2 linked regions of the Xenopus tropicalis genome follow. Each later gene encodes a partner of the first gene's protein in a complex. Links are inferred from orthologs where the notes say so. Each region holds a gene or a part of one and is shown in the gene's direction. Other genes may lie near its edges.

Region 1 (4,049 bases):
GCATCTTCAACCTGTGGCATTCCGGCTGATCATGTACATCATCAATGCTGTTGTTGGCATTATGGGAATTGTAGTTCCAACAGCTTTGGAAACTGACGTGCATGATCCTTAACTAGCTCTTAAATTCTCCAACATCTTTTCCTATGGTTTTTTTTTGCTTCCACCCACTCAGTTTCTATGCAGTATATAAAAACCCATCCTTTATATTCTTCTGCAATGCTCACACTGCGACCTTTCTCCCCCCTCCCCGCGCATTTGTGTGTCTCTGCATGTGTCCTGCCTTCTCCCTGCTCCTCCCCCTCTTTCCCTCCTCCTACCCTTGGCAGAGCAGATATAAATCATATCCATCACCTCCTCCCCTCCCCAAATAAGAGTATTAAAAAAGGTTCTGAAACAAAGGAGCCCTGCAGTGTCCCGCGACTCAAAGAAAAAAAAAGAATTCTGTGTGCCCAAAGCACAGCCAAGCAAAAGGGACTAGGGGTCCTGTCTGCATTAGCCTCACAGGGGGGGGGCAGCAAAGCCAGTGCTATTCACTCAGGCAAGGGGAGCCCATGCAGTGGCCCTCCAGCTGTTACTTCTCCATACCTGACAGTGATCAGCAACAACTGATTCACCTATTATTTTAGAGGATTTATCATAGCAAATGTGATAGACTACTGCGGGTAACTTTTTCAGCTGTATCAGTTAGCTAGCCCCTCAATATTCTGCATTACATCTATTTGAATAGAACCTTTGGTGCAATGTAGCCCACACACCATATACCTGTGTAAAAGCATATCCACATATTGAAGGTTGTCTTTTATCATTATTCTTTATTTATATAGTGCCACCACATTTCTGCAGTGCTTTAGTAATGATTCATCTTTCACATAAATGATTGGCCAAGTGGAGCTTACAATCTAATGTCCTTCTTCACACAGGATCTGATACACTATAGAGATCCTAATAGAACCTCTTGTTAGTGGAGGTTGTAGTCTCATGATGGAGGGGATGCAGGCTGTGAGGACACAAAGTGATCCCTGCATGGAGCTGCAATGGCCAATGCAATGCTGCTCCCTCACGCAGCCCCAGCTACTGCCCGTTAGAACAACGTGGTGGAGGTGTGCCAGTGTCCTTCCGCTGCTGGCGGAGGGATCTGCAAGTGGAGGCATTAGAAGGAGATAGGGGGAGGGGGACTACACCCGGGCGCTGCCCTATTTCCTTGGCTTCTGCTGGCTGTCTGAGCTCAGATTATCTCCGGCCGTGACGGAGCCGCTTCACCCCCCTTCCCCGTTACCGGCTACCCACACCCTATTCCCCCCGCAAGCTCTAGTGAGGAACCGTTATTTTGCAGCGTGACGACCCCCTTTCTACCCGCACTGAAGATGTCCGGCTGGCAGGATTACGTGGATATGCTGATGGCCGATGGCAGCTGCCAGGAGGCCGCCATTGTCGGTTACGTGGACGCCAAGTACGTCTGGGCAACGACTCCGGGGGGCATCTTTCAGATTATAACGGTAAGCGGAATGAGGATGCAGGAGACTGATTGCCGCTATGTGCTGCACCTGCCGCCTGGGGGCGGGACTTGCGTCTAACGGGCTCCGGCTGCACAAAGGGGCCACACGGGACGCGGCTTGTCTGTATCTGTGCCGGTAATTCTGCGCTCCCCTGGGGGGCAATGTGTGTGTATGGTGCTGCCCTACTGCATAGAGTGTGCAGAGCTTTCACTGGAGGCCATTAGTGACCCAGTGCAAGTGGCACCAGGCCCAGTGCTTTACCGCGACACGTCGCATGCGACTTTAGTATGTCAGCAGTATAGCCGTATATATGCATATTGTAATGCACTTATTATTCAGCCAATGTCCCCCGGGGGCACTGGCCTCGCATTGTCTTATTGGATTCACAGGGTTTTTGAGAGGAGGGCAAAAAGGGCATTTGAAGAAGGAACTCTGTATCAGGGTGGCCCTCTGGGGGAAGGAATGGAAATAAAAGTACAATAGACCTGTACTGAGTAATTGTGTTCTCTATATTTGTCTGTGATGTTCAGTCTCGGGTTGTAGTTCAGCAACAACAGAGGCTGGAGATCCCTGATCCATTTACCCACTGCTAACATTGGGGCCTCCTGTATGTTACTATGTATTCCTCTATGGCCAAGGGCCCTCTGTTCTCTAAATGGCAGTGGAAACTTCTATCCTTGTTCAAGGGCTATGGGCACAATCAGTGCAGCTATTTCCTATGGCCATTTTGCCTTTAGGGAAGGTGTGTGCTAAGTGCAGCCCTGTGCTGCTTCTCACTACACCACTGGCTCTTGCTTGATGCTGGGAGTTGTAGGAAAGGTCCATGTGATCTTCCCACTGTTAATCTGCTGCCTCTGGAATGCTAGTCTGTATCTGGGGGAACTCTGAATGAATGTATGTAGTACAGGGAGGAACAGCCTCTGTGCCCCTGGAAGCCTGAAGGTAGTAGCAGGAGGGCCGCAGCATGCCCATCTTTGGTGTAGGGTGAAATGTGTAGGATCAGGCCGGCGTGCCATTGACTCACCACAAGTCGTTTGCATAGCACCCAGCCGCTGTCGTGGATGAGATTTAAAGCACCTGACGTAAGCAGCTTTCGTGAATCCCAGCCCCCGCTTCTCTCTCCATATTCTTCTGCAAGATGGCGTGGTCCCATTGATTTTTTTTTTCTCCTCTGTCTCCCTAACATTTACATTTTTTAGTCTCCCTGCCCGACATCATTGCTGGGTACCTCTACCTTTTTTTCCCCCCTCTCGTAAGCATCGCTGTGTCGTTAAGATTTGTGCTTTAGGGGTGCTGAGATCTAATTGGGTAGCGCAATTAAAAATTCTGCTGCATTCACAATGGCATCCTGCTGAATGGGGGCTACATAATGCCGTCCTTAACTCTCTCATGGCTAGTGTAGAAGCCCAAGAAAGAGCCATTTGTTTTGTGATTTATACATTACAGCCAAATTCAGTCGGTCCTTGTTTAAGGCTTCACATTGCAGTTGCATTTTTATGTCACATATATTTCAAACCCAAGCTGAAGTATTTTGGCACGAAGCCCAAAAACTTTAAAAATCACGCTGGTTGGTGCTGAATGAATCTGCCAGTGTCTGTCATACCATTCCAGTTGTGGCATAGCCGATGAACAATCTGCTGGGCCTTAGAAAGCTCATATTGCACATTGGTGTCTGTATCGGGTTTTAATTGAGAGATTTTTCAAGTCATCAATATAAAGCAGTTATTCCACTTCCTCCTCTGAGAACTTGTGCAGAATAAGTTCTTCTATAGAGCCAACTTTAAATGAGTCAAATACTCAGAAATAATTAACTGTAGTTCGAAGCATTCTTCCAATACACAGTAAATCTTTTATTCATGTAGTTAGTTGGGACTTGTGATTTCTATTGAAAGAATCATTTTTCAGTGCGTTGCTATTTCTTGTCCTTGCTACTTTTACCATTGGAACAATGTAGCAAGTCAGCTCTTCCTTAGCCAAGATTATTATTCCCACTGGGAAATGGAGTCTTGGCTGGAGAAGAGCTGACTCTTGCTACATTGTTTCAGTGGTCCAAGGAGTCAGGACCAGCAGTGCAATAAATAGCAAGTGACAGGCTGTTTTTAATAGCCATTGCAATTCCATTTAACTGAAGATTTGAATTATTTTAATGTAAATTTGAGAGTTGGTGAACTTTTTCACTTTGCAATTTGTTAGTATTTGGCTGACATTTCCTTTTAATATCAGACTGCAAGATTGTGACATTAATTTGAGTGACAAATTTAGAGCAATAGTCTGATTAATACATCATCAGTCTGGTTAATAATACACTGATGTCTCATTTGGGTAAGAGTGTCTCAACTGGGGCTGAGCAGCAGCTATTGAACTGTAGCTCCTTGCATTGCTAATAGCAGAGATTTCAGGATCAGCAATACCCAGGGGCTGTGGGTGATACGCTACCTTTATTGATCACTTATGATTTATCTCTATGTAAGTACATCTGGAGAAGGGTTAATCACTGGCACGGCCACTGGTAATTTAGGATGATATCACAGAACAGAGTAGAATGTTAGCCCT
Region 2 (4,271 bases), on another chromosome or scaffold:
ACAAAACCCAATACATTCCTAAAACCATTGCTTTGTTTTATTATTATTATTATTATATTTATAAGTGTTGACATATTTCATTTGCCACCAGTGTAACTTTGAGCTCAGCAAAGGGACAGCAAAATTCTCACAATTGCTCCTTCATTGACCGGAGTGGTAATTTCTTTGCAGAGAAATATTGCTTTAATTGTAATTAGCTCAATATCACCCACCTTAGGCTAATGTCCCACAGAGAGATTAGTCGCTGCGATTTTTAAAAAGCGAGTTCCAGCATGAAGTTGCTCGTTTTGTCTCTACATAGAGAAGAATATAAATCGCCAGTACCTAAACCGATGATACTACTTCAAATCGCTTATCGATCCGAATCGCTGACCAATTTTACAAAGAAAGCATTTTCATTCAAAACTATTGGAATAGCTGAAAGTAAAACCTACTGAGCGGGAAGTTGCTGCGATTTTCCCATTGCACGAAATGTAATTGTGGGCAGGGAACTTGGATTTGGGGGAAATAGAATCGCTCTGTTGTTGAAATATCTAGTAACTGCTTATTAGGAAAAGACAAGCGACTTGTCGCTGGAACTCGCTTTTTAAAATTATCAGCGACTAATCTCTCCGGGGGACATTAGCCTTCGGTGGGCACATCAGCTAGGTTGCCAAATGAGTGAATATTATTTTGCATGGACATCACTAATGCTTATATAAGCATGTATAATGTAACTAGTATAAACATATTCAGTCAGACTCGATCATGTCCTAGTTTTATTTATTCATAGAGGTCAATATATGATAATGCAATATGCTTACACATACTATGCAGTATCTTGTTTGAACCAGACTTCCTCTTTAATGCATGAGGCGTGTGAAAACTTACGTTACATGGCTACACCACGGCTCTTCTGAAGAATTAAATAATTGTAAATTTTTCATGTATTTATATGCTTGAATACTTCATTTTGGCAAAAGGCTCCTGTGAGAAAAAGCTGTACTCTGATAGAAAACTTTAAATCTGAAAATGTCGCTAATTAAAAAAAGACTTCCACGATTCGTGCCTTCCGAAGGCATTCTGGGAGTTGTAGTTTACCAGCAACAAAAGGACCGTAGTTCCTGATTTAATTTTTTTGCGGAAACTCGCGCTGTCCCATAATTATTTACATATTTACACTCACGAGCATTAAGCAGAAAGGAGTAAGGCTATTCTAGAGGAGATTATGGCAGAACTACCTAGCCATACCTCTACTTTCTACCCCACCCTTTGTCTCTATGACTATGCCCGCTCCCCCTCCGCCCCCCGGGCAGTGTATGCTGTCTATGGGGGAGGGGAGCAGACAGAGCTCCCGTGTAGAGGTGACATCACCAGAAAGGTGGGTCGCCCATTTAAGATGGGCTGTGGCTTGTTGCCTCTTTAAGAGAAGGCTGTCCCCAGAACAGAGGAAGTGATTGAATGTAACAGTGAGGGAAGAAAGAGGAATATAGCGAAAGAAAGGGAGGCTAGGGTAGGGGAGGAAGGCAGACAAAAATAAGAAGGAAGATAGAAAAAGAGGAGCAAGAGAGGGGTGACAATTTTAGTCGGGGAGTTAGGAACCAGCAAGATAAGAGCAGTGCTGGCACAGAGTTGAGCCCAAGCACCTCTGAGCCCAAGCATGCGGGAGTAGCAGGGAATACACAGGAAGGGTGGGGTGAGGAAGAGGGTTATAGGAAAGGATTTAAAGAAGAAAAGATTAAGAGGAGAGGGGGAATTGCTGGAGGCGAGGGGGCACATTCCTTCCTGCAGGAGGCACAGACTCATATCGCAGCATGAGGTGAGTGGGGGCATGTGTCATGTTCTGTCATGTAGTACTATGCTCTGTCAAGTTCTGTCTTGTATTAAGCACATCTCTGTGCCCCTGTTGCTTTGTTTAATGCCTGTCGGAGTCATTTTATGCAATTTTTTCATTTATCATTAACTGTGTTGGCTGTGTTGTGGGTGTGATGTGTGCCATAGTTCCCTCTAGTGTGTTCTGCTGATGTTATGTGCATTACATATTTGCATTTCCTTCCTATCATACAGCACAGGGCACATCCCATGAGCAGTCGCTTTTATCAGTGTCCTTATCAGTTGCTGGATGTGTCATAGTGACTCACTGCATCCTGATGTCTGGAAGGGCTTTGTCTTTGTTTCTGCTTCTATATATATATGATGGACATACAGTATGATCATGGGCATACAATATGCTGTGTAGATTGGGTTCTGCAACTTCCAGTTCAGGACCAATAGCAGGGCTGTAGCCTATAGTCAATGGGCTTAGTGTATACAACCAAAAAATACACAATATTTAATTGGCTGTTGTTTGTATGAGTGGAGTACTGTAATATGTCCAAGAACTACAAATACATTTAAGGTACAGCAGATTCACACAAAGTAAATTTATTAAGTGCATTTATATAACTAAAAATCAAACAACAGTGTAAAAGCATAACATACCAAATGGTGTAGGGTATGTACCAGGGATGTTAGGTTGAAGACACACAGAGCAGCTTGTAGCAGCTACTTGTCACAGCTACAAAAATAGACAATGCAATGCAATTTACTGATAGTTTTCTCTATGTTTGCTCAGTATTGCCTATAGCAGGGGATTTTCTGGCATTTGGTAGCTGCTACTAAGTAGCTCCGTCTGTCTTTGCCCATGGGAGGTTAATTGCGTCAGCTTGTACACTAACCTATGGTAGCTAAATCAGTGACAAATCGGCCCGTGTGTCTTTGCTCTTATACTCAAGTAGCAGGCTCAGCATGTAGTAGTGGATTTTATTGCAGTGTAGCAATGAAAACTGCATCCATTTTGTATATAAGCTGTGACCTCAAGACCTGTTTGTACTGCTGTAGTTCTCATTAACCTATTGTTCACTGGTTTGCTTTGCTTTCCAGCTGAGCTCATGTGTTTAGGAGTGCTGGGGAACTACATCTTCCATCATCCCCCACTAGCCAAAAGTCTAATATATTGTTGCTCCTAATATAAAACATTTTGGATATTTGGACCATGGTGTGGATTAAATGGACAGCAAATCTACAGAAGTAATCATGTCATAAATTAGTTGATTTGTAGTCACACAGCTGGCTTCAGTGTATATCAGAAGTGAGTGATGGGGTTGCTACAGTGGTACAGATACTCCCAGCCACAAACTTTGGTTAAAGTATGGTGTGGCACATTTCATTTTACTGGTCATATGCTGTAACTCTGGTTCTACTGGAAGTTTCAAATTATACTCTCAGGGCTTAAATTCAACTTCAGTCGAATTTGCCGAATGTGAGCGCTACTGTGCAATATGAGCACTTGCATCCTGTTTACACTACAGGCACTCGGGCTTACTTTAATCAAACATAAGTATTTAGTGTGACCAAACCCTAAAGCTGCCCATGGGTGGGAGAATATTTGGGATATCCAATTGATAATCCAGACATTCAGTTTATGCATTTTTGGTCACCAACTAACTAGATAGATGCACAGATTTCCATCATCCGTTAGGTTGATTGGCCAGAGAGACCATTTCAAAGACACAATATGCAGGGACATTATGCAGTTGGTTGAAAACTAACCAAGTTGCATGAAAGACCCGGTCAAGTTAATTAAAAATTAAAATAAGAAGATAAAAAGGAGAGGTTCTGAACAGAAAGATAAGGAGTAGAAATAAGAAAAACATTAAAAATTAAACAGCACTCTCAATTTGTGTTTAGATTGCTGGGGTCACTAACCCTGGCAACCTGAAAGGATTTTAAGTTGCAGTCTGGAAAGAGGCAGAAAAGTAAGTGAATTTACGCATGGGGCATTTTGTCACCCCTGTAAAATCGTGGGTGACAAATTCCTTCAAAATTTTCTTACGTTGTCATGCATTGAAATCACCATGCAAGTTTGCAGTCCTTCAAAAATGCATCAGACATGCAATAAAACAGCATTTTCCATGTTTTGCCTGCGGGTGACAAAATGCCTTGTGTGTCATTTTACTAAGGCTAATGCCAGACGTGCCGTTTTTACGCTGCATATTTTCTAATTCTCTCAGCGGCTGAAAAACGCACAATATCATCATCCATAGAAATAACTTAAACAGTCTCGATGGAAAACACACTATGCGTAAATACACTAGAAAACGTGTTACCACGGACTTTTTATGCGTTTGCCGAAATACGCTGTTATTTGCACAGCAACCTATTCCTATGTGTACACAAAGGCAGCTGCCAGACCTTGCGGAAATACGCGGCGTTTTTTACTATTTCGCACTATTAGCTCCATGGGAAACGGG

The links.
Region 2: the proteins of pfn2 (region 1) and vasp are in contact, whole or in part, in a crystal structure (PDB 2V8C), measured with the Mus musculus proteins. The link is inferred for Xenopus tropicalis from reciprocal best matches to the Homo sapiens genes PFN2 and VASP. Residues at the interface, in NP_062283.1 of Mus musculus: Gly3, Trp4, Ser6, Tyr7, Asn10, Cys13, Tyr30, Trp32, Met131, Tyr134, Ser138, Phe140; in NP_033525.2 of Mus musculus: Gly165, Pro166, Pro167, Pro168, Pro169, Pro170, Gly171, Pro172, Pro173, Pro174, Pro175, Pro176.

The regions. Positions count from the first base shown.
Region 1 is NC_030681.2:118,615,007-118,619,055, forward strand, and holds the start of pfn2 (profilin-2), read left to right. Parts: upstream 1-1,249; 5' UTR 1,250-1,364; coding exon 1,365-1,496; intron 1,497-4,049. UniProt on the Homo sapiens protein: Binds to actin and affects the structure of the cytoskeleton. At high concentrations, profilin prevents the polymerization of actin, whereas it enhances it at low concentrations. By binding to PIP2, it inhibits the formation of IP3 and DG.
Region 2 is NC_030684.2:70,581,004-70,585,274, reverse strand, and holds the start of vasp (vasodilator-stimulated phosphoprotein), read left to right. Parts: upstream 1-1,471; 5' UTR 1,472-1,793; coding exon 1,794-1,798; intron 1,799-4,271. UniProt on the Homo sapiens protein: Ena/VASP proteins are actin-associated proteins involved in a range of processes dependent on cytoskeleton remodeling and cell polarity such as axon guidance, lamellipodial and filopodial dynamics, platelet activation and cell migration.